Bombyx mori: one gene and its partners. The protein of the gene in region 4 purifies or fractionates together with the protein of the main gene of each other region. This does not show direct contact. Links are inferred from orthologs where the notes say so. Each region holds a gene or a part of one and is shown on either strand. Other genes may lie near its edges.

Region 1 (4,264 bases), on a different chromosome or scaffold from region 4:
TTTGTCTATTTGGTGTTTCTTCAGGTTTTAATGTGTAATAACGGTGGTTTATTAGCTGCTTAGTATCTGTGAAAGTGCACAAATGTGGGAAAATAAAACAAAGCCGCTGGACGTAAATTCTCGACATCCTCCCGATCCATTAACGGTGCTTTTAGGCACCACAAGCACCGGTCACCGTCCTCTTCCAACCTGTCGCTTGCGACGAAGGGCTCGACGAGCGAATTAACCCACAGACACAGCTCACTGAGTTTCCGATCCGGTGGTGGACTCTGCGAAGCACTGCTCTTGCTAGGGCCAGTGTTCGCAACACTCCGGTTTGAGCCCTGTGAGCTCACCTACACACGTTAGGGCGAAGCTGACATAGCCTCTCAAGGCTATCAGGTAGGAAAAAAAAATGCAAACTAGCGCTATCCTCGTAGTGCTACTAGCCGCATAATGCGTCGGTACCCTAATGGTTGTGCATTGGTCCGTGTAACAGGAGGAAGGTTCGCGCCCCCCGGCCTCGGTCCAAGTCGCAGCCGGCGGCGGGCGAGTCCCCGGAGCGCGCCGCCCAGCTCCGCCGGAACGCCTCCATCAAAACCGCGAAGCCCAAGCCGCCGTTCACAAAGACGACGCCCCCGAAGAACCTGAAGCCGCAGGACAAGAAATTACCGGCGCTCGAAACTTTGACAATCACCGCTCCGGCGAATAATAACAATAACAACAATAACAGGTGAGGATTCGTTTTGTATTGGGTGCGTTGGATTCGAGCATTATTAGTACTGTTGCCACGGTAATCACTAATCATTTTAAAATTTTGAGATTCTCAGATATTGTCGTAAATATAAGAATATAATACTTGGTGGCAAACACGCGAGATGAGATGTCCTACGTTTTTCTCGCGGTGCACATACTCATAAAAAAAACAATTTAACTGTTTTTTAATTTTAACTAAAATACTACTAATTAAATAAGAACTGTCTGATGAACTCATCTTTGTTTAATACTTCACTATTAAATTTTATTGCCTTTTGTATATTTCACTTTTACACTAAACACAATATTGCAAATTACCTGAGCACAACAATGGCGGAGAATTTTTGGTGTGTGAGAGCAGACGTAGACACTAACGCGCTTGCGCACTTGTCAGTACCCAGGGAGAAAAAGTTAAACTTTCTTCCCTGTACAGAGGGACGACAAGTTACACTTTCTTCTCTGTACAGAGGGACGAAAAGTTACACTTTCTTCCCTGTACAGAGGGATGAAAAGTTACGCTTTCTTCCCTGTACAGAGGGATGAAAAGTTACACTTTCTTCCCTGTACAGAGGGACGAAAAGTTACACTTTCTTCCCTGTACAGAGGGACGAAAAGTTACACTTTCTTCCCTGTACAGAGGGACGAAAAGTTACACTTTCTTCCCTGTACAGAGGGACGAAAAGTTACACTTTCTTCCCTGTACAGCGGGACGAAAAATTACACTTTCTTCCCTGTACAGAGGGACGAAAAGTTACACTTTCTTCCCTGTACAGCGGGACGAAAAGTTACACTTTCTTCCCTGTACAGAGGGACAAAAGTTACACTTTCTTCCCTGTACAGAGGGACGAAAAGTTACACTTTCTTCCCTGTACAGAGGGACGAAAAGTTACACTTTCTTCCCTGTACAGCGGGACGAAAAATTACACTTTCTTCCCTGTACAGAGGGACGAAAAGTTACACTTTCTTCCCTGTACAGCGGGACGAAAAGTTACACTTTCTTCCCTGTACAGAGGGACGAAAAGTTACACTTTCTTCCCTGTACAGCGGGTGGAAAACCGAACTTTCGGTGTCGGTAGGAGAAAAAAACTGTTTGAAGAAAGTGTAACAATTACAACAGTAGAATTTTTTTCTTCTAAGTGCCTGCTGCAAAGGCTATTATTAATCAGTAGTCCCTCGATCTTGCTTGATAAAGCATGATATATTCAGTTGCTTGATTTACAATTTTCAGCCAAGGTCAGTCGCAGCGGAAGGTGAGCGCTATGGTGGCGCAGCAGCGGCCAGTGCCCACGGACATCAACAAGAAGAAGCCGCTTCCCGGCCAGGTATATCGTACAATAATTGTCATCTTTGTCATAAGCATCGCTTCGTTTGCGCTAGGGGCGCTGTTCGAATTAGATACAGATTTGAGTTCGATAGATCGATTTAATCTTATCTTATCTTATCTTATCTTATCTTATCTTATCTTATATATCTATATATATATATAAATGAATTGCAGTTCGTTAGTCTCGCTAAAACTCGAATACGGCTGGACCAATTTGCCTAATTTTGGTCTTAAATTATTTGTGGAAGTCCAAGGAAGGTTTAAAAGGTAGATAAATATGAAAACACTCGGAATTAAATAAAAATAACAATTTTGTTTTTCCTTTGGTGTGTCCCCCGTCGAACGGATTCCTTTTGTTTGTTTTAAGTTTATTTTATACAAAAGTTTAGGTCTTTTATTTCTCGATTGATGCACTACGAAGTCTGCCGGATCAGCTAGTTATCGATAAAAAATGCTTCTCCCCAGAACCAGCAGCCCTCGAGTCCAGCCCCCAACAAGTCGCCGCCCCTGCAAACGAAACCACAGAACCAGACCTCTCACCCTCACCCGCAACAGACCACTGGTAACTATGAAACAAAACGTATAGCTTTCAAATGCCTAACAATTTTCCACAATACATCAATTATGAAAACTAAACATTTAAAATTATTATTAAAAAAAAGAACATAATATTTCTAACCTAAAAGTACATGTTATTATCCGCAACACGCTTCGTCAGATTACAGAAATAGAGTTATCAGCAACATGCTTCGTCAAAAAGTACAATACTTACTTTCAGCTGCAAGCGTCGTCATAAGTAACATATAACATTTAAATATTGAAGACAAGAGTGGATGAAGAGATCAAGTATCATTTTTAAGATTTTTGAGTTTCTAAATTGAATAAAGGTGTTATGTGCATATATTAGACCATATTAGACCTTAAAACTTCAGGCATAAAAGTTTTAGAAATTGCAAGTGACGAAGGAGTTATGTGCGAAGAAAAGTGCAAGCAACAAAAGTTTGTTGCCCGCTTTCTCAAAATTAACAAATTGTATCATATCCCCTTCATCCACTCATGTCTTCAATTATTTTTGATTATTGCTATTTTTTTCGCGGAATAAAATATTTTTAATTTTTTCTGTTTATCTCTAAGCTTGGCAGGAATTGTATGCTTGTGAGCGAGTATTTCAATTGATTAATACGTGAAGCAAAAACTTTGTATCCCTTTTTACGAAAATTGCGCGGACGAAGGAGTATGAAATTTCCCACACTTATAGAGAATATAGAGGAGTGCAGAATGCTGATATTTTTAAAAAAATATGCATTTATAATACATTAAATCAATAAAAAAACATTACACACACTACCATGTATTTAACATACACGCATAATATATAAACGCTTTGTTTATTGTTTATAGTGTAGTTTTGGCGAAACCTGTAATTATAGAAGTATAATAAAATATAGTCTTTGATAATGGAACCATAATAATGTTCAAACTTACTGGTGGTAGGACCTCTTGTGGGTCCGCGCGGGTGGGTACCACCGCCCGGCCCATTTTTGCCGTGAAGCAGTAATGCGTTTCGGTTTGAAGGGTGGAGCAGCCGTTGTAGCTATACTTGAGACCTTAGAACTTATATCTCAAGATCGGTGACGCATTTACGTCATAGTTGTCTATGGGCTCCAGTAACCACTTAATACCAGGTGGGCTGTGAGCTCTTCCACCCATCTAAGCAAAAAAAAAATATCTTCAATTATTTTTCATTTTTGCTATTTTTTTGCGGAATAAAAATAATTTTTTTTGTCTGTTTATCTCTTTAAGTTCGGCCAGAGTTGTATGCTTGTCAGCGAGTATTTTAATTGATAGTACAGCTTCATTAATACTGCCTAGAATGAGCAGAAGACTAGAGAAAGTGTCATTATATTTCTGAACTGTTGGAACAGGCGCCGAGCCCCGCGGCGGCAGCAAGCGCTACAGCAGCCTGCGGCAGCGCCCCCTCGCTGAGCCCTACACGCCCCAACCGCAGCCGCAGACGCAGACCCAGACCCCTGTCCAGACCTCTAGTCCGGGGGCAGCGCAGACCCAGCAACCGCACAGATATGCCGGTGCGTAGGGCGAGCCACTATCACCCTCTCATCTCGCACCTCACTCATGTATAGTCGGCAAGCTAAATCTGTTCGACGCTTGAAAGACAAACGTGACTAAGCGACAATGCGTGAACTT
Region 2 (4,554 bases), on a different chromosome or scaffold from region 4:
TCAGTTAGTCGTAAGCTTAAGAAGTAAATTATTACAATTTATCCGCAACATAGAATAGCGACCGTTTATAAACAAAGGACGCTAATATGATGTCTTGATGATAAACAAATGTACATGTAGGTACAACTATACTGTTTACAGCTAGGTTTTGCATGATGGCTTTAGCTGTGCATGCATAACCGACAGGCAAGCCTTAGCGTGTATGTGATTAAACTGTGCAGTTATCGGTGCATGTACATACTACCGAGCAAATATCAAAATTGATATTTTATGCCGCTTGGTTGTTTGCGCGCGAACATAACTCCATTATAGAGGTCATACACGCTAGGTGTTGCATGATGGTTTTAGGCGTGCATGCATAACAGACAGGTATAATCGAGTTTAGTTAAAACCATTTGTACATAAAGCTGGTATATATGCTGGCATATTCCTACATAAACTAGACCTTATAAACTTCGATGCGATTGATTTGATGTCTATATGAACTGTATTAATTTAACTTTTTTTTTATTGCTTAGATGGGTAGACGAGCTCTTAGCCCACCTGGTGTTAAGTGGTTACTGGACCCCATAGACATCTACAACTTAAACGCCGCCACCTACCTTAACATATAAGTTCTAAGGTCTCAGTATGGTTACGACTGCCCCACCCTTCAAACCGGAGCGCATTACTGCTTCACGGCAGAAACAGGCAGGGTGGTGGTACCTACCCATGCGGACTCACAAGAGGTCTTACCACCAGTAATTACGCAAATTATAATTTTGCGGGTTTCATTTTTATTACATGATATTATTCCTTCACCGTGGAAGTCAATCGTGAATATTTGTTAAGTACGTATTTCATTACAAAAATTGGTACCCGCCTGCGGGATTCCAACATCGTTGCATCGCTAGATACGAATGCACCGAACGTCTTATCCTTTAGGCCACGACGATTTCGAAACTCAACCATCCATACAAAACGTAAGCGCAATTGTACACAGATTTACATAGAACGATCAGTTCGCCCTATCCATAGTGAATTGCAATTTACAGAAAACTTTGTGGTATTGAAAAAGCTGTATTTCCTTTATTATTAATATTTTCTAGCTATAATTAAAACACAATAAAGTCACTCTTCTGCAATAATATTTATTCTATGCTGAGTTAAAAATGCTACGTCAAGCATAGCTTCAGGATCCAAGAGTTCCTTTACATTGTCGTATTTGAGACTTTCTTCGAATGCAAACATTATGCTAGTATCATCTAACATCATCTTAGATGCCACAAGTGCCAAAATACAATTTTTCACTCGCGCCATCGTTTCTCTTTCTGATTTCCCAACAGGCTGCAATAAAAATGATATCAGCATCATATTAGCATATGCAACAATTTCATGAGGGCATGAGAACATGCATGAGTTCTATTTTCTTAAAACATGGAAAAACACAAAGTTTAGTGAAAATGATATAATAAATCTTTAACTTGTGTTTATCGTTTATCTTTCTTAACTCCTATTCCCGAACACTGCACACTGATAGCATTAACCCACCTGAATTTCATAATTTTCAATTGCATCCTTATTTCCTTCCATAAGAATATCACTTTTGTGTGGACTAATCCATATATATCCATTATTCCCTATTATGACAGATACTGCACATGGTAAGTTGTGAAAATGATTTTTTCTGCGCTTTATCAATGACGGGAATACTTTTATTAAAGTTCCCTGTGAAAGCTGCAAAAAATAAAGTTTTCGAACAAACTCTTAAATTAATTTTTTTTTAGTATTAGCAAGGAGTAGAAAGTTCAACATTTTGTGATATTAATTATTATTAGAGGACTGTATGAATGATTCTATTTTAAGGTATGAAGGGCTATTTGGTTTAGAGGAAAGTCATGTAATTTAAAAATTGAAAAAAAAACATGACAAAACTTCTCCAGCTATTTCAATGGAGAATACTTAATTGGTGTTCAATTAAAAACAATTAATTGTATAAACTAATACCAAATAAAATTTACCTTTAATTACACAGATAGATGCCATGTAGTAAGCGAAGTGTCACTTAAAACAAATAGCCTTACGCCCCTTGATTTTATTTATTTAAACATATAGGTAGTGAATTAAAGCAGATTTAAGTGTTTGTGTAGACTTGTAATCAATTTGCTAATGAAGCATGTTTAATCTACTCAGAAGGATAAATATCATCTTCACTTTGGAGGATTTCAAAATTTAATGTTGCTACATATTTGAATATTTTTAATTTCCTTATAACATTCTTGTTGAACTTTAGAATAGTCATTTTTTATTGGCTTCATAAAATCTGATTACCTTGCCATATTTCAAACTTCTTGTATGCAATGAGAGCGAACCATCAGAAAATACATTCTGTACTTCAGCGCTTATCAAATCACCTTCCTGTAAATGTTTTCTCATCATCTGCTCATCCTCTTCTGAACGCCTTCTCTGGATTTAAAAAAATATATAAATAGTTATCATTAGATACAAGAAGATTGCTTTATATTATGGAAGTGTGCGTTAATTTACCAATTCTCCGCCAGGTAGATTTACTGAAGAAAGTTGAAGTATTGAATCAAGTCGTGAATTGGTATCAACTTTCCATCTTTTCTGTTGAACTTCCAATACTCTTCCGACTACCACATCGCCTATTTCTCCAACGTAACGACTCTTCAATGGGCGAATGCATATAAGTTTATTTACTTTTTGCATAACCCCAGCAACAGATGCTTTTAGGCAATCATCTTCTGCGTAAGTTCCGTGGCCTCTTAAAGTGCAAAATTATTAAATTTATAGTAATAATAATTCTTAACAATATTGTTTTCGCAAAAAATACCGACCTCATAAAATCTTGTATCCCAGTTATGACTTCGCCAGGAGTGTAAAAACGCGGCGGGTCATTATTTGAGGCAACCGAATGATTTACTCTTTCAGATGCGAGTTTTATAGATACATGACTGACCATTTCTAATGTTTTTTTAAGCTCCCTCTTTGCTAATTGTGAATTGTGTACAACGAACTCATAGACCTATAGTCGGATTTTTTATTAGACGAAGTCAACTGACGTTTACTGTGTTGTCAGGTTTTGATGAAATAAAAATAGTGTTGTGACAAAGTGAACGATTGAAAAAACTCCTGAATTAATGAAATTGCCTCGATTGTCTAGTGAATAGTTAGTGTGCCGAATTGCCGATATCGGGTACGGGGTTCGAATTTTAGGCGTGCTTTGTACAACCAATGAGTTTTCGACGAAATATTATGTTCCTATAGTATCTACCTGCACTGAATACCGAGTGTTTTAAACATTAAGAAAAACATTGCGAGGAAGCTTGTAAGACTGTCCTATTTCCAATACATCATATAGTTGAAATTATAGATGTATAAAATATAACAATTATAGGTATGTAATGAAAATAAAAAAAAGTAATTGTAGTTACATACTACTAGTAACATATATTGGAGCACTTTAATACAATTTTATTGTAAAATATAAATAATATTCTTTTATAGTTTGAAATTAATGATTAACTCTTCACACTCATTGTTCATTCATGTGATTGAACGAGAACTGAACAGATGATAAGGGATGAAATACAATCTCACTAAAATGACGGTTATTTACTGAGATTTTGGCCTTTTTGGACGATCCCGAGAAGTTACGTCCAGCGGCTTGGTTTCATTTTCCCACATTGGTGCACTTTCATAGATATTGAACAGTTAATAAACAACCGTTATTACAGGTTTAAACCTGAAGACACACTAAATAGACAAAATAAAACAAATCACACAATTTCACTCCTCGCATGTAGAATCATTGGTGACAAAAAATGTTTAAAAACAAATACGGCCGTACCAATATGATAATATGATGCGATACCATTGCCTCTCTCTCCTGTATTTGAAAAAGGAAATTACAAAATGTCACCTAAATGAGGCTAAATGTCAACATTGTTAGTAACTGTCAAGCTAACAGCGATTGCAAACATATCTCTACCTTGTTAAATTCCAATATGAGTATTTAGATTATGTTAATTAGAAATTAGAATTTATTTTCTCCTTTAAAATTGCCTAGTTTTTTATTTTACGCAATATTTATAGTTTCGGTTATATGGACTATTTAGACTGAATGCACCTCTATGAGACAGAAAAGTCGTTTATAAGTGTAATGATTTCTTGGCTCACACATAGTTCTTCAAAACTTAAATCTTTAAATAGCTGCTATTGAAGTAGGTTTTCAGATTTTCAGCTCCATAAAATGTCGGCAAACGCTGCACCTATAACAGCTACAGATAGCTTATCGCAAGCTTTAAAAGCGAACATTATACCAAATCAGGAATACTTACTTCAGGTACTACAGGATGTTGAAGTGGCTCAGCTATTTTAAATTTCAGAATAATTACAATATAGTCTACATTCTTCTACAGTTTCCATAAATTGCATACTTAACAGAACTAATTACCATAGTTGCAGCTATTGTATCCAATTCTTTTGACCCATTTGATCTGTTTACATACTACATTCAAAATATTATCAGAACCCATACATACATAGCTTACA
Region 3 (4,934 bases), on a different chromosome or scaffold from region 4:
GACGCCGGAGGGACCCTGGCGCCGGGCGTCCTCCTTCAACCGGCGCAAGCCCATCGTATTATGTATATATGTCGATGTCATTTGTAGCCGAGCACGTTGCGAACAGCTCTCTCCCCTATAAAGCTCACCCTGCACCCACATCACCCCCGACCTGTGTGGCAGGGAGCTTCTGTCCAAGCAGTGGGGTTTGCCCGAGGCCCGTTCCGTGCCCCTGTAAGGGGGTACGACAACTCCTTTTATAAATGAACTTTGATGTTGCCGTAGCTTTAAATATGACTGTTGATGTGCTGAAATTGAGTGTAATGACCATGAAAATTTTTTGAAAAAGTATTTCTCATTGTTTTTGACAGACTTCCACATTGAACGAATAACATCACCAGTAGCTACGTATAATTTTTAACCTACACAGGTAGTGATGTTTGGAGGTGGAGCAGTGATACGCTTAAGATCTAGGCAGTTTCCAAATCGGCAGATGCCGAATGCAGATGCATTCACTGTAATACAGTTGAATTACGATAACCTCCTTAAAAATGTTTACACTTGTGTACACAACTACAGACTAAAAAGAAATCTATACAAGAAAATTTCAAATCTGGGTTTATTTATCCAATTTAATACATGTACTAGAATTATAATTTCTTTATAATTCGTAGTCTTTTATTAGTATAACCTATACTTTTACAATTAATCTAGAACATTGAGAACACAAAGCTTATTCATTCATATTTTAAGATAAAACTGAGTGTCTATGCACATTCTCATTAGTTATTCACTTGATTTCTTTCACATATGCATCAAGCTCTGCATCTAATTGTTCTGCAGTAGGTACTGGTCGTTTGCCTCTGCCTGCACCACCACGTCCTCTTCTGTTTCCCCCACGTGCTCCACTATTGCTTTGATTTCTAATTCCTCCACCTCCTTCAAAAATAAAATAATTAATGGATTTCTAGTAATTTGTAACTTGCAAACAGTAAAGTGAAAATGTACAACAAGAACTAGTGGGAAAATATCAGTTTTAAAAAAAGTAATTAATTTTAATAATGTTTTTTTAAATGAAGGATTTAGGGCCGGAGGCCTTTCCAGTTACACCACGAATGCTTAGCCAGAAGAGAAGGGTTTGCTAACAGTTGAACACCTCCGAAAGAGGTCTAACACAATTCATGGGCAGCTGCTTTGCAAATGAATCTACTACCAGATCAGTAGTCTGTCTATGGATTAGGTTGCACATCAAACTCTTTAGAGTTCAATGAGTATGGTTAGTGTTAAAGCAGGTGTCTAATGCAAGAGTTATTGGATCTGATGGATCCGTAATTATGTGTCTAGGACATCAACAGTTAGTCTCTGCTGTGGGTAGAAATAGTCAGCGGCAGCAACAATATGGCGATTATCATGACCAATGGCCTTATTGAAGTATCTTTCCGACAATAACTAGGTGTTTCCAGATTGATTCGACTAAGAGGCCATCTTGTATATGGTGATTTGTCACAAATCACAATGATGTAATTTGTTATCACTCCTCCCATACAAACAAATCCTGGAAAATATCTTACCTCTTTTAGGATTGTTTCGTATAGTACCTCCCACACTCGCACCACCAATTCGATTTCTAGCCTCGGGCCTTAAAGTATTGATTTCAGATGTTGCCAATTGTATATTCATTGCCCGTCCATCAAGTGGCACTCCGTTATACTGTTTCATAGCCTTCACAGCATCTGCTTTTCTTTCAAACACAACATCTGCAGTACCTAAAAAAATTTAAAAATATCTTGTATGATGAAATACTTAATGGAACAAACTAAGTTTTTATGCTTTGTGATACATACCTAAAGATCTACCTGACCGATCATAATGTACAGATGCACTTTTGAGGATGCCAAATTCCGAAAATAGTTCCTTTATATCTGAATCTGATACTCCAAAGTCCAAATTGGATACAAGCAGCTTGGTAGGACCAGTTGTTATGGTCCCACTGTTTCTTTGAAGTTTCCTCTCACCAAAATCATTGAACATATCATGTTTCCAAGTGCTGTTCACATCACCCTGAAAAGGTCATCCTTCATAGAGCTAGCCATGTGGCTACTCTCTATGCCTCCTTTGAATATAATAAAAACTCAAAGCTTAGGCACTAAAATTAATACATTGACATCTGAACCACTTGATAAAATAACATTTGATGTAGTTTACATGTTTTTTTTCGAAAATTAAAATATAGAACTGTTTTATCACTTTCATCACACAGACACAAGACTAATAAGTTATGAAGCACAACCAGTCTCAGCCGTCCATGGAGTCCATTTATTTACTTTTCAACTCCTGAAGTCAATTCTATAAATTGGTCAAAACTGCACTGTAGACATCTCCACAAAAGTAACGTTTTGCTCGAATTCATTACACTTTTATATCAGCATCCATCATAGAATTTTCCGGCAGATGTAGGTAAACAATGCAAAACAAAAACGTTGATGGAGATAACAATATGGTTGCTGGGATTATGGTTTCAAGTTGAAAATAGGTCGGATACGAATAAAATAAGGGTCTTGATTTGAATCAAAGTGTCAAATTTCGTCTAAAACTATTTCAACAAGATGGTCCATATGGTTGCTTGACTTTTTGAGAACAAATTAGATACATTGATGCGTCACATTTGCCCGCCATTTGTAATTTTAGAATCATCTAATTATTGGAATTACCCTCGAATAGTTGGTAGATTTCGTTATGCCTCCACGATTTCTACCTCGTTGTACACCACCAGAGCGGTTGCTACGAAATCCAGCACCGCCTCCACGTCCTGTTCTTTTGTTTGCATCAAATTTTCTTCCAGCACCACCTCCAATCCTTGTCTTTTTGTTGGCTTTTATAATATCATCCAGTGCCATTTCAATTTGATCAACCATGGTGATTATTTGAAATTCTAAATATTTTTTCTATGAAAATTAAGTCAAAAACAAAAACAATCCTTTTAGAACTCTTCCTTCCCAAGTAGACGGTGACAAAATGGCCGAAGAAAAGATTCGTTATTGCCAGATTGCTAATATTAGTTCAACAGTAGATTGAAAAAAATTGTTGAGCTTTAAATTTGGTAGAAATTATAGTCAATAAAGACTATCTTACACATCTGTCTTAGTTTATTTTATTTTACATTTACCAGTTGATTTGGTCAAATCTTTCTGTTTAAAAAATTAAGCGCTTAGTTTTAATCTTTAACTAGGTAATCAAATCACGTAATGCTAATGCACTCAAAATTCAAATATTAAGAAGTGTATTATTTATGGTTCGAGATTTTTGGCGCGAGGAGTGAAGTTGTGTGTTTTGTTTTATTTTGTCTATTTAGTGTTTCTCCAAGTTTAAATGTGTAATAACGGTGGTTTATAACCTGTTTAATATCTGTGAAAGTGCACAAATGTGGGAAAATTGAAACAAAGCCGCTGAGCATAACTTTTTGGGATCCTCTAAAAAGTCCACTGAAAAAGTCTCAGTAAATGACTACCATTTTACTGAGATTATATTTCATCCCATATCATCTCATCTCATTTCATTTCATTCCATTTCATTTTCATTTCATTTCATTTCATGTTATGTTTCATATTAATCAACTTCATTTCATTTCATAAATCATTTTACATATAAAAAATATATAAAAGATTACGCTTTATGGTATGATACCTTTGCCTTTCCAATAATATATTAAGTGTATAATCTATGAATAAAACTGCTACTACTATCTATGGTTCGAATTTTGAATTTTATAGTTTCCTCAAGCTTGTAAACCAATCCACAATTTAAATAAATCGTTTTTATTAAAGTATCTGTACTTACATACTAGAAGCGATTTAAAAATACTGTTATAAAAACAATATGACTGTTGGGGAAACAGGCCAAAATTTGCCATGGTATGAACTATCATTAACAATGATTTAAACAAAAAAATCATAACTCAATATATTTTACTACGACGATTAACACTTTGTTTTTACGCAGGGTTGAAAAATATCGCCCAAAAAGATTGGATGATTTAGTATCTCATGATGATATAATAAAAACAAGTAAGTATAAATTTCTGAAACTAATGATCACATTATTTTAAAGAGACTATCAAATTTAAGGCTATAAAAATTGGACTTGAATCAGGTTGATATTAAGTTGCTAACCGTAATACGAATACCTTATAACAGTTAATGCATAAACCCCCTCTTCGTACCAGTATGTTTTGTACATTGTAACATAAAGTAAAGGATTTTTCTTTTTGTTCTTCTAGAGTACTTTGTTTACATCTTAATTGAGGCAGCAGCCTTCCAACCACTACATCCCTATTTTTGTGAGATTAGGTACTAGCCCTAGTACAGTAATATATGTATTTACTGAGATTAGAATATTGTCATTACAGTAAATCAATTTATGAAAGAGAATCAGCTCCCACATCTACTATTCTACGGTCCTCCTGGAACCGGGAAGACATCTACCATTCTAGCCTGTGCCAAACAAATGTACACTCCACAGCAATTTAGTTCGATGGTATGTAAATTTTTAGACCAGTTAATTAACAGCAAAATTAAGAATCTGATTAGCATTTTTAAATAGTTGGTCATAAATATCGTAATTAAGTTACTTAGATTGCATCTAAGTAGCAATATAATTCAATAAGCAATATAATTCCTTATAAAATATAATTCCTATCTGAAAAAATCTGTATTAAAGAACCTAAAATGATAGTTGCTTTAATGAAAATTTACTGATTGCACAATACAAGGTGTACTAAAACCATTCCTGGAAATGAAGACAGGTTGCTGACTCTTAAATTAAAGCATCATACCAACAAAATATTTTATTTATTTATTCAATGACAATAAAAAACTAATATGTGGTATTGGAGGTTTTTTTAAAATACAGAGGATGGCTATAAGCTTCTTTTACATTGATTTTTTTGTTTACTGAAA
Region 4 (4,847 bases):
CTTAACAAATTGTAATTTGCTAATGTTTATAATAAAATTTTAAATATATTATAGCTTATTAGGGATACAAAATATTTCCTTCTGCAAAAAAAGAAGTTTGGAAAACAGAATTTGATGTTGTCAATGCAATAATTAGGAATAAGCCCTGGATAAGCCATATGAGCAGAAATAAAAAAGAGCATGTGCAAACAGAAAAGATTGCACATTATTAATAGAAAGATTATTGCTAATTTTTGGCAGACTGCAGCTGAAAATTTCAATTACTTAAAACTATTAAACATAATTTTTTTCTTCAAAACAGTTTTAAAACTCTTGTTTTGTCTCCCAATACTATTTATATGTATAAAACTATATTTTATTATACATCATATTATTATATGTATTGTTTTGTTTATAAAAAGGTATAAATAAGTAAATTAATTAATATTTCTATAAATGTCTAATTTGTATATAAAAATTTACTTGTCTAGCTCGCATTTGTTCTGTTTCTGATGGCACTTTCACCAACCAAGACAGGAAGGCACGATCAGCTGTAATTATAATGAATATTGTCGGTTAATATTTAAAAGCTATCTATCTATTTTTATGTCATATACTAAAACATTTTATGTTCTTAATAGGTTTTAAAATTGGTCAAGATGAAGTTACATAAAGAAATTTTACATTGAAAGTCTTTCTATTCATCTATTTGTTAAGTCTTAAGAGTATGATTAAAAGACAGCTCGTGATGATGTGGTATAATGACAATAATGCATAATGACTTGAATTGTGGGATAAGAATACTGGTTAGAGTAATTTCTTATCTGAGATCATTTTTAGACTTTGAAATGGAGTTTTCGACTTCATATCTCAAGGTAAGTAGTGTCAATATTGATACTGTTGTAACTACTAACATCATGTGGGCTGTAATATATTTTATATATAAATCTACATCATCATTTACAAGTCTTTCCAGGTCAACTTCAGGATGCTATGTTCATGATCACTATTTATCAGGTTTAGATATAAAACTTGTTATGTATAAACACATAAATAAATGTAAGCTTATCAGTACTACAAATCATTTGATTTTTTATGTTTTAAAAGATATAAACATACATATCAGAGGTTTCCACTGTTCCTGATCCCAGTTCATATCCTTCAAAGAGCTTTGAGCTGCACAAGGTTGTCTGAAAATTCAATTCTTGATATTAAATGTAGCGGGCAGTCGATAATTATCTAATTTATCTTGGTTTCAATTGTTTTATAGTTTTTTTTTCTCTGAGCACTGAGATAATTCTTCTTATTTGTACACTCTTGACAGAGTGGTCGTGGTCAGTGGATCAGTCGGATCCTGCAATACCGATGCTCTCGCGATGCGACACCATGTGGCGCAGTGTTTCACAGAGTGAGAGCAATCGTTTATGTTGGAGTGAGTCACAGATTTTATGACTGAGATAATAGCATATTACATATTAATGAGTGATTATTAAGTTTAAAAAAAATATCATACCGGCAAAGTAGCACAACAACAGAATCAGCTTTAGCTGGTATAAAGCCGAGTACGAATACATTCCGAGCACCACATGAGTAACATTCCAGAAGGGTTTCGCCAAGTGGCCCGTCACGGTGCAATGCAGCTTCCTTGTGCTTTGCACGTACTAAATGGTTGATGATATGAGAGCCTGAAGTGTTACCGCGGCCATTACAGAACCTGGAAAATATTATTCTTAAGGAATCAGAGTATATTCAATAAATTGTGTATAACATAATCTTCACTGCAATTTCTTTCAGACATTTAATTTTATTAAAATTTTCTTAATTTTTAAGTCATAAAGTACTAATTCTTTATAATCTTTATATTTCCAATTGCTCAGTAGTATGCAAGTGTTTTGTTTTATCTATCTCTAAAGTGTATCCGATCTATGATGTAGCATAGCTGTATTATATACTTCAATATCTAAATTTTGTAATTCAAGTAGGTCATTTTCAATGAGTTATAACATTACTACTTGAATCCAGTAAATTTTTCCCCTGATTTATTCCTCTACTCAGTTGATAATTACCAATGTAGGGCATGCTCAAAGAAGATGTAGGAACAGAATCTAAAGCAAATTCATTGTAACAAAGGCAACTTATTAATCTGCAATCTACATTCCAATAACTGTGTAAAGTTACAAAGATCTAACTAATTTTAAGTTGTTTCCAGGGCCCATGGATAACAGAACCATGTCTGTTTTGAGAGACACAAAAGACATGCCTGTTTTGAGAGGCCACAGTTCTATTTGAGTTGCTATTACTTTCCTAACATTCTAATTTCATTAGACAGATAATCATGAAAGATGTAACAACCCATGTTGATAAAATAAACCAATACTTAAAATAGTTAGGAAGCAGAGGTCAGTTTCATGTATATTGTAAAAAAACGTCTATAAATACTACATTTTTGGGATTATGATACTACTTACCACTTGTTGCATATGTTACACATAACGACTGTGGCCGGGTCGTGTATGCCACAGTATTTACAAGCATGATCTGGAAGTTCCTTGTTGCTGTACAAAGCCTCATCTTCCTCTTCGAATTGCAGCTCCGGTATCGTATTAGTCACGTTAGAGATTTTAGACGACAATTCTATACGTCCTATTCCGTTAACCTACAACGTGATAAATGTCAATAGTTACTGATCTTTCTGTGAGTTGAAGTGATGTGTCTTCGGTGGTGTTCTACATACCTGGTTGGATGAAGACAACCCATGGTCATGTTGTGAAGCCTGTGTCTGGCTCTGAGAGGGTAATGTAAAATCCGTGAACTCAAACTCAGAGCCTTGAGTGTCTGCTCCAATAAAGTCCCCTTCCTCTGTTTCCAGAAACGTGAGCGATTGCGAGCTTGGGTCGAATGCTTCAACACTCATTTTTAATGACGAATTTAAACAAACAAAATTAATCCAAAAGAAAATATATAGAACGACTATTGGCTGATATTTCCATAGCAGTCACGCAGTTATTCAAACGACACACAAATCGTGACGAAAATTCGACATGTTAACACATGGTTTGTTTCCGTATAAAGTTTTATATAAATTGTCTGTTATTCTATTTGTCAATTAATAATTTCAAAGTTTTGTACCAATCAAATCTTTGAGTGCAGTTTAGCTGTCTGTTTTTTAACCAATTAAAGTACAGAAAAACAAACTATTCCAAGTGAGAAAATTTAAGTACAGATAAAATATATTTACAACTCAAAGCTGTCACTTACTATTGCCACAAGACGCAACACTGGGCAATAGAGGCCAGGTCACAAGTACTACTTAATTGAGAAATATGACCGGATAAACTTAAATATACTTTTTTCTCTTCACTGTACCGATTTTCTCACTACAAAATAATCTAAATGACGCGAATGGACCTGGACTAACGGGCAAGATTGTTGTTGCGAGAGCGTTGCCAGCTGGGTTCAAATGCTGCGAAAAGTAAGAATTTTAGCTAGTTATTCATGTGTTCATAATGACAGCGTTATTAAATGAATGCCTTTAAAAATTTTTTCGGGTAAAAAAATTAAAATTTCCAAATATTCGTCAATACATAGATTACAATAATGGAAACTAGATATCTTATGAAACAATCAAGTGTTTGGAATTCATGATGAATCGGAGTGGGATAGTCGTTGTATCACACAATTGAAACCTCATATCCGGCGTACACCAGTTTGGGCACCGTTGATATAGTAAATTTAGTATTTTTTCATTAAATTTTTTTAGTTTATGAGTTTCTTAGGATCTATGTCGGAAAATTAAACAATATCGTTTTAGTTTTCATTTTCATTCAAAAAGACAAGTGAATTCACAATAAATTCCCACCATTTTACTGAGAGGCTACTGTATTTAATCTCATCTAAGATTTGAAGTGTTGTGATGTGTTGATGAGGTGTGTGGTGTGTTGAGGTGTGTGGTGAATTTGAGGTTGATTCATTTACCCTATTTAATTCCATTCCGTAATCAATTTCATTTCATTTTTTAAACAACAGATTTAGTTCAGTCAAAAGCTTTGCTGTATAGGCTATGCTCCCTTTGCTTGTCAAGTAGACGATTCAAATCAAACATTACATATCCTCACATTCCCGCCAAAAGTCAAAAGTACCGTAGTGTGTTGAATTAGTCTAGACCTTCATGTGAATGATCATCAAAAGATGTATTTAAATATTTGTACTATAAATTTGTTATTAAGATTAACAAAATTATTTATTCAACCATCTTAACAACGGGACGAGGAGATAACTTCATAGCTTGATAGATGGCGCTTTAACTGTGTATCAATGTCGCGCCACGAATGCAGAATATTTAGTATCGTTTTAAATTTTTTTTTTTTTTCGCGAGATGTTTTCGAGAAATTCCTTATTTAATTTTCAAACTTGGAGCTATGACTTGACTTTATACTAAGAATATGTAGTAATCTAGTATGTTTTAGGAATATCACCTGCGCGACCACCCACTTCGACCAATAATATCCTGAGCGAGGAAGTTTTAGCTATCCTGAATAAATCAATGACCTGCTTGTTTCTACTTTATTTGACTGCGATCGCGTCGAGCTTTTCGTCGGCCGACTACCCGATGATCTTCAATCGGAGACAAATATTCCTTCGTAATAAGTTGACACTACACAATTGGCATACGTCCAATATTGACCATGCGATCGTAGTGTTAGATCATGCCGCTGACATTTACCTTCTTCCTCACACATTTCCTTTAAAAATACATTTCTCCTTCTGCAGGATAGCTGTCAGAGCACCGTGTTACGCAATACCGTCTTTACCATAAGGGCACACAGGGCCCGTGCCCAGGGCCCCCATTCTCAGGGGGCCCCGAAGGA
Region 5 (4,264 bases), on a different chromosome or scaffold from region 4:
TCCGGTAACCACATGACACCCGGTGAGTTGTAAGCACATCTACTCATCTACAGCAACAAATAACAATTGTATCTTTCAGCTTGTGGTGCGGAACTCTAAAAATCGAATACTTGTCTGCACCGACTCCAACATGGCGGCGGATAACGTGGCCACGATGCTTATAAAGTACGCCAAAAAGTTTCCTTCCGAAAAGTTTCTTTTAAGAGCGAGCTCCTTTTATCGAACATGGTAAGCGCCAATATTGTATTGTATCAACACAACTCTGCAAGTAAATGTGTAAATATTTTTTTAAATATATATAGGACTAACTGACCCGGCAGACTTCGTATTGCCTCAATCGATATATAAAAGATCTAAACTTTTGTATAAAATAAACTTAAAACAAACAAAAGGAATCTGTTCGAAGGGGGACACGTCAAAGGAAAAACAAAATTGTTATTTTTATTTAATTCCGAGCATTTTCATATTTATCTACTTTTTAAACCTTCTCTGGACTTCCACAAATAATTCAAGACCAAAATCAGCCAAATCGGTCGAGCCGTTCTCGAGTTTTAGCGAGACTAACGAACAGCAATTCATTATTATATATATATAAGAATAAGATAAGATATAAGATTAATAAGCTTCATATATAGGTAATGTTGTATTGTTATAAAAGAAACTTCAATGTGTTGCTCTGAAAGAACAAAAATCTATTTTATTAGTTTTAATCAAGTTATCTTACGTACCATATTACACTATTATACTATAACACTAACCTGAAAGAACAAAGAAACAACATTTAAAGTTTATTTTATAATCTTGTAGTTATCTATATAAAAAAGAATTTTATTAAAATTTTACGAAATCTATAATCTTAATAGTCATATTGTTTCTCTGTCAAGACCATAGACCTATATAGTAGGGACACGACATATTGTTCTATACGTACAATTGCTTATATAAATAGCACCCATTTTGAAGGCACACACATAAACATATATCTATCTCGTTCTTACTCAGCACTTTAACTCGCAGGAAAACAATATAACAGTGTTTCAGTGCGTACATAAAATGAAACATGAATATACGTAAATATCTCCGTCTCCGTCTAATGAGGCCGAAAATCCGTCATGTTGAGCGCACCAAATGTCATTGTCACGTCAGTTCGGCCGTCTGTTTTGGGTTGTACATTAATTATTGACTTTGATATCGATTTAATATGATTGCTTATATAAATTTCATAATTTATCATGCTTAGAACATACAAAAATAATAATTAAAACGTATTTTATAGGATCTCAAGAAATTCGATGCCCCAAAACTATTATCTATATAAATTTAAATTCATTATGGAGCCCTCATCCGAAAAATCGGACACAATTTTTCGGTCGGAATCTATTGATCATGACACTAATCATAAATACCTCTTTAAAATATGTCATCAAAACATATTTAGACATTCTGTTTAGATATTTCGGGAAAAAGGCTACTGGCAAAATCTATTCGGAACTATTTAAATAAAATAGTTTTATTCCGCAGTGAGTAAAACACTATTGTAAATTCGTTAAATATTTAATAATTAAGTGATTTTAGAGAGGAAGTCACAAGGAATGACGTTTTTAATAATGAATAAATGTTCTGTAGGTGTTTTTTTTTTACGAGGTCCCTTGATAAGTTTAAAATTTGAATCACTCTCAAGTGAAAGTGATTCAAATGGTGCGGCGCACCTTCCTTGGGGTGCGCTGCGGTAGTGTGTTACGGACTTTAGAGTCAGCAAAACAATTAAAATAGATTGTAATAGTCTAAGAAAAACACGTACTCAAAATACGATAACATTTAGCATGCTAGAAATGGGCAGATGGCACTGTACTACGCCATACCTTTATGTTTTGCGACAAACGAAAACTTTATAAAATCAGTGTAGCAACTTTTAAAAATCATCATATCGTTTACTTGGCAAATTCGAAGGACGAACTTGTCTTAGATTTCACCCATTTAAATCATATCATATTTGCACATAACAATATACCTACTTACTTCCCATTAAAGTATAAATTCTACAAATAAATAATACTCAACAATATTTAAAATAAAATGAGCCAAGAACGTTTATCGATAAAACCTGATAACATTGAAATCTTTTGTACAGTACTAAAACCGCCATGTTTTGTGGTCAGATGACGTCACAGTGGCACGAATTTTTGGTTGACGTTTCATTTCCATAGGTTTCCTACTTCAGTGGTCAAGACTGCCTTTTTGACTTTACAACACGCGCATGCGTGACATAACTCAAATTAAAGAAAGAAACAAGACTTTCTTTACATATATTTTACGCCTTTATGAAAACAATTCAAACCAAAACAATTTTTGAAGAATTCGAATATTTAAATGCATCAATAAAACTTGTAAACTTTATATAAGTTAATATCGCTGGGTAACGTGTCGCATATTATGACAGTGTTGCTAGTATTTTGTTCATTATTATACAACTGTCATGGTACGCTTATTTGTGATTAAACAGTTTCGAATTGTTTTAGGGCAACACTACCAGAATGCTTACATGCCTTTTCGAACGGTACAAGTACCAAAGACTTTTGGTCTGTGAGTTTCACAGTTTTCCAGAAATACGCGATCGTCATTACAACGTTATCGCACGCCGCCAAATTCAGCGGGTACGTACGAAAACAAATTTAATAATTAGGTTGTAGGAAAAGACGAAGCGAAGGATGTTTTTGTTTACAATAAAATAATTTTTTCTTACACTATTTTTAATTCAAATGTACTAAAAATTATTTTCAATTTTTTAGTAGAATTTCAATTTACTCAATTTTTAATATTGAATTGTCATCGGTCCTTAATAAGTATACCAAATTTCGAGTTAATCCGACGTTACGAAGGGTGTCAAAATCATGTTCAAAGATTCCGTTACATACTAACATACATACGTCTGAAGCTAATAAAAAATAATTTACTTTTGAAAACAGAAGTTTTAGTAAGAATAGCACGTGCCACATAACGCATCTGTTCATCGACGAAGCGGCCCAGGCTTCCGAGCCTGCCAGTCTCATCCCGATCTGCGGGCTGTTGTCTACCGCTGGTTCCCTGGTACTGGCCGGGGATCCCCTGCAACTGGGACCTGTCATCATTTCACAAAAGGCCAAAGAAATTGGCCTCGGTATGTATTGTATACGCTGTTGAATAACTGTCACCTGTAAGTATTTAAGCTTGTGTATGGTGGCAAAACGGTCGAACTATTACAAAGAAAATTTCTTTAAAAGCTTTCAATATTTGAAAATTGCTATAGATAGATAGATATATTCTTATTTCTCGTTGAGAGAAGTTAGGAATAAAATCGCACGGGGAGGTACCATTGTTTTGCTTATGTCGGCTACGAAGCAATCGTGCGTTTCAGTTTGAAGAGCGCGCAGTTGACTAAATTAATAAATAAATAAAACAATTTTCTGCTAGCAACCAAATGTAACAATACAAGATATAATACTGTCCCTGAAAAAGAAGCGGCAATGGAAATATAAACATTATTCACCGGGAAGTTCTTACTAAGTGAAGCCGCAATCGAAATTAAAGCTAGTTGGAGGATGCGGTCATTGACTTCGACTTACTACCGATCTTTTTAAAGTTTTACTTTCGATACTGCCTTATTTTTACACAAAAACGGTTCTGGGTATACTTGAGATCTTAGAACTTATATCTCAAGGTGGGTTGCGCATTTACGTTGTAAATGTCTGAGCTCCAGTAACCGCTTAACAGCAGGTGGGCTGTGAGCTCGTACATCATCTAAGCAATAAAAAAAAATTAAAAAATCTTACATCCGAACGAAACAGAATAAAAGAAGGTACACATTCATAATATCAAACAACCATCATGACTCAAAATATCGACAAGAAAACATTACAGGAATCGACTGAACGCAACGTCACGAGTTGTGACGTCATTTAGAACAAAAACGTTCGCCAAGTTCAAGTTATTCTCGCAGATTGTGATGAATGTTCAACTGCCTCTTTTAAACGTATAATAAAACGTTTTATTGCAGGTCTATCGCTCATGGAACGTTTGATGAAAACGTTTCCTCAGTACAACGACGTGAAGAACGACTGCAACTATATAATGCTGCTGCGCAATAACTTCAGATCTGATCCGGACATACTGCACATCCCTAACGAGTTGTTCTACAAGGGACAGCTCAGAGTGAGTTTATAGATACGTTTTTTTTTTTAATTTGCACATAACAAATTATAATCATTACAGTACATATGAGGCCTAT
Region 6 (4,736 bases), on a different chromosome or scaffold from region 4:
CATTTTTGTAACTTAATAGGAGCCATTTGAAGTACACAGTTTTGAAAAAAAAAATCATAACATAAAAACTACTTCAGCTATTTCAGTGGAGTAAACTTATTGAAGTTCATTTAAAAATATCGAACTGTTGATGCTAATATCAAATAAAATTCACCTTTAATTACAAAGATAATTGTTGTGGATTTAGTTAAATATGGTTTAATCCCTTAATATGTATTTATTCTTTATACCTATACTACACTATATGCAATAGAGCAATTACTTTGAAGAATTTTTTATCAAAATTACTGCACTTGATCTATTAAAACCTTTATTAGATGGCTGCAGCTCGAAAACTAGTATCGGGCCTAGGGACCGCGCACTCGACAAAGAGTTTGACCTGTAACCTAGTCCATAGCAGCCCACAGAGTTTCTCAGAGGATCTTCTCAGCGGGTTGCGATTTCAATCTAAGGGTACAGTTAGCAAAGCAGTACTCCTGCTAGGGCTGCTTGCTAGTTTTTTTTTTTTAATTTTTTTTAGCCTTTTTTAGGCAGACGAGCATACGGCCCACCTGACGGTAAGTGGTCACCGTCACTCATGGACGTCAGCAATGCCAGAGGCAGAGCCAAGCCGCTGCCTACCATTAAATACTCTCCGCAAGCCTCGTTTGAAGAAGGACATGTATCATAGCGCTCTTAGCAAATACTCTCGTGTTGAGTCCATGAGTTCACCTACCCGTGCGGCAGTAGATGGAATAGTCCCTTAGGATATCAGCAAATAGGGGAAAAAAATAAAACTAAATAGTTACTTATTTACATTAAAGTTCATTGAAAACAGAGAATTATGATGTATAGTATGTATAGTGATGTATAGTAAAATAATTTCTATAACATACGCAGGCTGCAAATTCTCCTGGAGCCACAACAATATTGTCCAATACTGTCTGCAGTTTCGTGACGAGGCTCAAAACAGCTGCTTGATCGGTAGGTGACGGACATAGCTCCGTGTGCCTCTTTAGAAGGGCCTGAAATGAAAATAGGGTGTAATTAATTAGATAAAAAAATAACTATTCTTGTTACACTACTTTCAATTTTTTGAATTTAATGTCATAGTTTTTGAAAGATAAGGCTTTGGTATTGATATGGTAAATAAATATTAATGTAGTGCATTGGTGAGGGTACTTACTTATTCAATTTTTAATTAAAAGAAATAATATGGATATGCTCTATTTTTTTCCCTTTTTTTACTATTTTTAATATTGCTCAAATGTGTTTGTGTGTTACACAACAAAGATAAGACATTTAAAGTTTATTTCATTCATTACGTATAGCTCCATAATTTTAAATAGAAATCAATTTCACTAATAACTAATGCCATATTTTTCCTTTGTTGTCAGTGCTACTTTATTAACAATCCACATTACCCGCGAAAACCTTTTCCAATAACGAAGGGCCAAATTAAAATACACTTATGCTTACAAATGTATTATACCTATATATGGATCAGGGATCCACAGGATGTGGACTGACGCACAGCGTTGCCAACTCTACCAACTTTTAGTGTCGTAATCAAACCTACCACTTAATCTACCAACTTTTGAAGTTATCAAAAAGTTCAAATCAAACCTCCATGAAAATAATATTGAAACTATATATTTTTTTTTTATTTTTCGTAATCTTTCTATTGCTTTTTTACCCTTTGAGGGATTCATCGAATTTACTCGAAAATAGAGGGCATTACAGGTTGATGTACAGGTCATATCATGGTGGCTTAATAAAAATAAAAAAAACAAACATCATGGCGGTGTTAGATCTTAAAACTCTTTCTACATACGATTTCTAAATATCTGTGTTTATACTCTATATCTAACGCGATTCAATTAACAAATAACTGATTGTAATTTTTATAACGTTTCAATTGAACACTATCAAAATGAGTGAAAGTGAAAGTAAAAACGAAGAAAATTCTCCTACTCGAAAATTCAAAAATATGCATTACAATCAAAAATATTCTCAACTATAGGAAAAAGAAGAATATTAGCGGCCTGTAATTCTGTTTTATCATTGGATTTCTAATAAAAATAGTTCAAATATGTCTTCTTATCCAATCGAAAAGTAAATTAAGGATGCCAGATTCTTATTGGAGGGTCTCTAAAAGACTTGAAAAGTTGGTAGATCTACCACCTTGGTATAGTAGGGTTTGTTGGAAACTACAAACTTGTAGAACCCTATCTCCTACCTTGACGAATTTCGAGTTGGCAACGCTGTTGACGCGTCTCATGATTGGCGACATTTTCATTACAATGTCTATGAGCTTCAGTAGCCACTTAAGATCAGCTCCGCCTTAACTTGGTAAGCCGGTCTATGTAGTATAATAAAGTGTTGATGGACGTCAACAGCGTTTACGAAACGAACCAATGTATTGGTGTTTAAATGGTTTCAAAATAAATGTTTTTTGTGTTACAAATTACAAAAGAACGAAAGAATGTCGTAGACTTTTCTAGAATGACCTGACATGGTTCGACCCGGAATGTTGTTACTGGTTACCTGAGTGAGCACGGAGTCGTCGGGAGCCGGTTTGCATCTAGGAAAAGCGGGTTCTGCTAATAAAAGGTCGAAGGGCGGACGAAGCATCAAGACTCGGGGTCTGTTGAAGGGTGGACGCCCCATCCCGCCCCGGCCGGGGATACCGCGTCCACCACGACCGATGCCGCGCACCATTTCAGGAAAAACAATTTATTTTAGGTTAACGTTTTCACTTTGTTTTGCACTTGGAATGTTAATGACATAGAAGTTGTGTTTTCACAAATTTTTCTTTAATTATTTTTACGCGCGAGCTTATATAGTGTTCGAATTGTATTAATCGGACACTTTCTGCGGTCTCAATCGGTCAAATCCATGGAGTTAATAAGTACCTACAACTGGAGTGCTGTCTAATGCCGAGAAATCGGTCTCGAAAGAGAATACTTTTTGGTCGCGGTGTCCTTGTCTAATGTGGTGACCATATAAAATGTATTTATAGGACACAATTATACACATGCATCAGTTTTGAATTTACCTTAAGTAATTCTGTGTAACCCTATGTAAATACAAAACACGTGCTTGCAACGTTTTATTTATGTAAATTCAATTCTAAACATTGCTTCGTCGTCATGGTGACTTTTTTTCGACGGTTTTTTTTGGAAGTTGCTGCGTTGTCGAAAATCTAGCACTGAGTTTTATTACAAACATCATTACCTCAGTTCTATTACTTAAACTTCCTCAAACTCATGTTTAACGTCCGAATACTGAACTTAATTACGCAATTCCTACTTTAATGTACTGGCTAAGTGGGCCGTGCAAATTAATATTTGACACACTAAGTGAGACATTGCAACACACATGGTCTGCGCGTATCGGGTGCTCTTTTCCTACATTCACATCTTCAATTGATTTAAAATTGCTTGTATTTTTACTTCTGTGCTATTTTCATGACACGTGTATATTAAGTCTACTAGTTACATTTTAGGAAATAAAACACAATGGGTAATAAAATGAAATGAACTGAAATTCATTTATTTGTTATATGTAGACAATTAAATAACTCTTAAATGACAAGTCAATACACATAACACAATACACATAGTACTTGATGTCTATTTACAAAATATTGGTTATATTATTATTATTAAGTTCAGTTAATTTTCTGTAGTCTTATAATATAACATTTCCTCTATTTTAAGTAAATTCTTTTTTTTCAACGAAATACATAATTTATTTTAATCAATATCTAAGTGGACCATGAGTATCATTAAAATTTCGCAATTTAAATTTCAATTCAATTAAAAATCGCCATTTTTCTTTAATAAATCTAAAATCGACTTTATATTTACAATCACTATTTCGCGGCTTTTAAGTTTTTGTTTCAATACCTTAACATCTTGTCGTAATTTTGCTTTTCTCGGGGTATTTTTTATTTCTTGCGTTTGAGTACTTGATTCTTCTTGTTTGACCTTTATATAGAACATTTTCCAGAAATTCCAACGTCATATTTACTAGAAGATCCTCCTCGTTGGCTTAACGTCAGGCAAATGATATACATGCTTGCGTGCGACGCTATTCAATACAATAAAAAAAGTTCAAAAAATACTACGTGATGGCTCTTATAATATAAAAAATACATTGCAAAATTATAGTTTTCACGATTGTTTTTTCAAATTTAGTATATGACATAGATTAAGTACAATTTACAAGACAAATGGTATTAAATATTATAATGAGAAAAAATATCTCACATTTTAAAAATATATGCTCACACTAGTAAAAATTTATCAATGAATCTGACATATGGAAGGATATTCCACAAACTGGAGAGGATTCTCGCTTAAAACCACTTACATTAAAAGTGTTCACCATGATTACACGGAAAGTTTCACGATTTTCGAAAAAAAACAAGCCACAAGCTGTATCAGTGCCATTTTAACTTCGCACTACAAACGTAAATAGACGCCATTTTTCTTTTAATCCATTCATAGCTCTTTTTCGGTGATGCCAACAATTAATCTGGCTTCCCACCAAATTCAACATGAAAACCATCAGAAATCTACGTACCTACCATTACATTTTCCATTAAACAGAGTTCTTATTAATATAGAACAATAATTTTTTTGTTAATGAGCTTTATTAATACATGATGTTCTATTAAAAATCAATATATATCATATAATCAATACTTCTTATATAATTTATTTTAATAAATTGTCATCATCAGAAACTAA
Region 7 (2,954 bases), on a different chromosome or scaffold from region 4:
GAATGATGACCGGTTTTTTTTGATAACGCCATCTTGTTGTGTCTTTAAAGCGGTTAGTTGCCCTCAATTAAGAAAAATAGTATTATTATTCGCCAATAGATGTCAGGAAGAGTTAATTTTTGAAAACACGAATAAAACAACATTTTCTCAAAATAAATCGTAGCTAGATCGATTTATCGTCCCCGAAATCCCCTGTATACTAAGTTATATGAAAATCGTTGGAGCCGTTTCCGAGATTCAAATTATATACATATATATTAATATACAAGAATTGCTCGTTTAAAGATATCCACTGTATACATCTTAAACTTCGTATGTATCTTTTTTAATTGCTTTGTTTGGATGAAAGAATTCACGGCCCGCTTGATTATAATGGTTACTGTAGTCCATAGACACCAACAATGAAAATACGCCATCTAACAGGTAACATGAGTTGAAACATGACTTCAAGTCGAACCATATTACTGCTTCACAGCAGACCTAGACGGGGCGATAGTACCTACCCATGCGAACTCACAACAAGCCCTATTACTAGTATTTATCCATATTATGATATTTTCAGATATGATTTTATTACACAATGTTATTCATTCGTCCTGGATTACATAAGTTGCAAAGCAATTAATATGAAAATAGTCAAATATTGAAACCAGTTTGCTGAAGTCCATGGGCGACGGTAACCACTCACCATCAGGTGGGCCGTATGCTCGTCTGCCTACAAGGGCAATAAAAAAAAAAAAAAAAAAAAAAAAAAAGTTTTAATTGTTAAAGTTTGTTTTGTTTCATTGCTAAGGATGTCCAATAAGAGGTACAAAATGATTATTGGAACCTATAAATTGTTGTTACTCACGTTTGAAGTCAAAGAAGAAGTCTATTGAGATGAAATGTTCTTAAGAACTTACATAAAAACTATTATGAACTTATTTAAAATTCATAATAATTTTAAAGTAATTTCCTTTTTACACATTAATACAGCTTCTATTTTATAATATTGTACTCCTTTATAATCCCATTACCATTTTATCAATGAGATCAGCATGTGTGGGCTTAGTTTAATTTTGCTCAAAGACTTCGGTCCTTTGCAATGGCTGGCTATGAATTCATAATATAGAAAAGAAACTAATAAAATCAATGTTGTGATCGCAGAGTGCACGTGAAGCATTGGATGGCGCAGATATACTCGGCCAAGCGATATCAGTTGATTGGTGCTTCGTCAAGGGACCCACTAAATCACATAAGAAGAGACGATAAAAATAATTGTAATCTGATTACCATAGTTTGTCTCATTTTAAGTTAAGGAACATTCTTGAGTGCGACAGAGACTGTATGCATTTGAACACTGCTGAGCTAAGTATGGGAATGGGTGTCTTGTTCTTATTTTTCAACATTCATTATCAGGAATATATAAAAAAAATACCAAAATAATTTAGTCAGAGGGTCTGCGATAATGTGTATAAGCTGAGACTTAACTTTCTATGTACAATAAAATACCTACACATAAACCAAACTAGTGTTCAACTATTAGCATAGGTATTCAATGTTCGCAGTGCAAGTTTGGCAGCAGATATAAATAAAAACCTTTGATGTTAAATTTTATATTGGGTATGTTATATTCCTGATCGCACTTTCAAAATGGATTGTCAATGGATAAAAATTATATAATCAGATTCCACTGCACAAAACGAAAGATATTCTTAAATGAAGATGTTAGAGTATTAAAAGGTTTCAAATAGTTATGTAATTCACTTTTTCATTTCTTTTTAATGATTCTAAAGTTCAAAGGAATATTCTTAGAAATTATTAAAAGGAATTTATAGTAAAGAAAACTGAAAATGTTCTTTAATAAGTTACTTTAAACAAAATTGATACAGATACAATATAATCAAATAACATTACAAAAGTTGTAATAATTATTATTGTGTTACATTCGAGTATCAATTAAAAAACGACCAGTTATTTTATGAAGAAAAAAGTGCATTTCTTAACTCATGATTGTAATTTGCTATAAAATAAAATTTAACTCTTAATTACTTGCCTTTTCTTTAATTTTTTTCAGTATGGCAATCGGTTTCTTGTGATGCCATGAGGTTATAAGATTTTAAATTATTATATGCATACAAAGTATGAGCATCCAATAACACAGAATAGATTGGATGAATTCATAAGGTTTGAATTACAATGTATATTTTTTTTACTTAAATAGGTGGACGAGCGCATGGTCCACCTGCTGTTAAGTGGTTACCAGAGCCCATAGACATCTACAACGTAAATGCCGCCACCCACCTTGAGATGAGTTCTAAGGTCTCTCACAACGGCTGCCCTCTCCTTCAAACCGAAACGCATTACTGCTTCACGGCAGAAATAGGTAGGGTGGTGGTACCTACGCGTGCGGACTCACATGACGTCTTATCACCAGTAATATTATCCGCTTACACTAAGTATGGACAAAACAAATATACATATGTTTTGTTTATTGGTTCAAAATGTTCAAATTACACGGCATTTAGACAGCACTGAGTCCTTTTGAGTCGTTGTACAGGGAAGCGTTGATGGTACAAGACCGCGCGGGAGGCCACCAATGCGGTGTACCGACCAAATTAAAACTGCAGTGGGAGGTCCCCTAAATGAGTGCAGTAGAATGGCCTCGAGCAGGGAGAGATGGCGCGACATCGTGAGACGCATCAAGTCTGCCCCTTCCAACACTACATGACGATCACGACCACTCTGTCAAGAGTGACACGACTGAGAAGAAGAAGAAGAAGAGTCCTTTTGGCGGGAATGAAGGAGCGACGTCTTAATTGTTTTGATAATTTTGTGGTTCTTCTGGTTTAAACGTGTAATAATAGTGGCTTATCAACTGTTAAACGGCTATGAAAGTGCACAAGGGTGGAAAAGTGAACGTGGCTTGTCGGGTTCTTCCAAAAACTCTTCTGAAGTCTTTCTTGAACCGTCTT

What was found.
Region 1: the proteins of regulator of nonsense transcripts 1 (region 4) and protein CASC3 purify together in Homo sapiens (co-immunoprecipitation; 5 studies listed by BioGRID and IntAct, with this or other methods). This does not show direct contact. The link is inferred for Bombyx mori from reciprocal best matches to the Homo sapiens genes UPF1 and CASC3.
Region 2: the proteins of regulator of nonsense transcripts 1 (region 4) and exosome complex component RRP4 purify together in Homo sapiens (affinity purification with western blotting; 3 studies listed by BioGRID and IntAct, with this or other methods). This does not show direct contact. The link is inferred for Bombyx mori from reciprocal best matches to the Homo sapiens genes UPF1 and EXOSC2.
Region 3: the proteins of regulator of nonsense transcripts 1 (region 4) and ALY purify together in Homo sapiens (co-immunoprecipitation; 3 studies listed by BioGRID and IntAct, with this or other methods). This does not show direct contact. The link is inferred for Bombyx mori from reciprocal best matches to the Homo sapiens genes UPF1 and ALYREF.
Region 5: the proteins of regulator of nonsense transcripts 1 (region 4) and RNA helicase Mov10l1 purify together in Homo sapiens (affinity purification with mass spectrometry; 3 studies listed by BioGRID and IntAct, with this or other methods). This does not show direct contact. The link is inferred for Bombyx mori from reciprocal best matches to the Homo sapiens genes UPF1 and MOV10.
Region 6: the proteins of regulator of nonsense transcripts 1 (region 4) and interleukin enhancer binding factor purify together in Homo sapiens (affinity purification with mass spectrometry; 3 studies listed by BioGRID and IntAct, counting the BioPlex papers as one, with this or other methods). This does not show direct contact. The link is inferred for Bombyx mori from reciprocal best matches to the Homo sapiens genes UPF1 and ILF2.
Region 7: the proteins of regulator of nonsense transcripts 1 (region 4) and Y14 purify together in Homo sapiens (co-immunoprecipitation; 7 studies listed by BioGRID and IntAct, with this or other methods). This does not show direct contact. The link is inferred for Bombyx mori from reciprocal best matches to the Homo sapiens genes UPF1 and RBM8A.

The regions. Positions count from the first base shown.
Region 1 is NC_085126.1:2,182,013-2,186,276, reverse strand, and holds part of protein CASC3, read left to right. Parts: intron 1-478; coding exon 479-712; intron 713-1,963; coding exon 1,964-2,057; intron 2,058-2,524; coding exon 2,525-2,621; intron 2,622-3,984; coding exon 3,985-4,146; intron 4,147-4,264. UniProt on the Homo sapiens protein: Required for pre-mRNA splicing as component of the spliceosome. Core component of the splicing-dependent multiprotein exon junction complex (EJC) deposited at splice junctions on mRNAs.
Region 2 is NC_085121.1:5,598,902-5,603,455, reverse strand, and holds exosome complex component RRP4, read right to left. Parts: upstream 3,099-4,554; 5' UTR 2,963-3,098; coding exon 2,838-2,962; intron 2,765-2,837; coding exon 2,527-2,764; intron 2,446-2,526; coding exon 2,311-2,445; intron 1,717-2,310; coding exon 1,531-1,716; intron 1,327-1,530; coding exon 1,111-1,326; 3' UTR 1,110-1,110; downstream 1-1,109. Other genes in the region: mediator of RNA polymerase II transcription subunit 18, read left to right, coding at 4,253-4,345. UniProt on the Homo sapiens protein: Non-catalytic component of the RNA exosome complex which has 3'->5' exoribonuclease activity and participates in a multitude of cellular RNA processing and degradation events.
Region 3 is NC_085114.1:10,512,022-10,516,955, forward strand, and holds ALY, read right to left. Parts: upstream 2,952-4,934; 5' UTR 2,895-2,951; coding exon 2,691-2,894; intron 2,041-2,690; coding exon 1,824-2,040; intron 1,746-1,823; coding exon 1,551-1,745; intron 919-1,550; coding exon 770-918; 3' UTR 666-769; downstream 1-665. Other genes in the region: replication factor C (activator 1) 5, read left to right, coding at 3,856-3,890, 3,979-4,043, 4,385-4,512. UniProt on the Homo sapiens protein: Functions as an mRNA export adapter; component of the transcription/export (TREX) complex which is thought to couple mRNA transcription, processing and nuclear export, and specifically associates with spliced mRNA and not with unspliced pre-mRNA.
Region 4 is NC_085127.1:8,613,528-8,618,374, reverse strand, and holds the start of regulator of nonsense transcripts 1, read right to left. Parts: upstream 3,196-4,847; 5' UTR 2,894-3,195; coding exon 2,714-2,893; intron 2,636-2,713; coding exon 2,448-2,635; intron 1,694-2,447; coding exon 1,493-1,693; intron 1,170-1,492; coding exon 1,099-1,169; intron 531-1,098; coding exon 463-530; intron 1-462. UniProt on the Homo sapiens protein: RNA-dependent helicase required for nonsense-mediated decay (NMD) of aberrant mRNAs containing premature stop codons and modulates the expression level of normal mRNAs.
Region 5 is NC_085131.1:8,801,833-8,806,096, forward strand, and holds part of RNA helicase Mov10l1, read left to right. Parts: intron 1-79; coding exon 80-228; intron 229-2,519; coding exon 2,520-2,654; intron 2,655-2,966; coding exon 2,967-3,157; intron 3,158-4,033; coding exon 4,034-4,188; intron 4,189-4,264.
Region 6 is NC_085130.1:10,884,766-10,889,501, reverse strand, and holds the start of interleukin enhancer binding factor, read right to left. Parts: upstream 2,938-4,736; 5' UTR 2,701-2,937; coding exon 2,527-2,700; intron 1,005-2,526; coding exon 876-1,004; intron 1-875. UniProt on the Homo sapiens protein: Chromatin-interacting protein that forms a stable heterodimer with interleukin enhancer-binding factor 3/ILF3 and plays a role in several biological processes including transcription, innate immunity or cell growth.
Region 7 is NC_085108.1:4,109,282-4,112,235, reverse strand, and holds the end of Y14 (RNA binding motif protein Y14), read left to right. Parts: intron 1-1,146; coding exon 1,147-1,251; 3' UTR 1,252-2,025; downstream 2,026-2,954.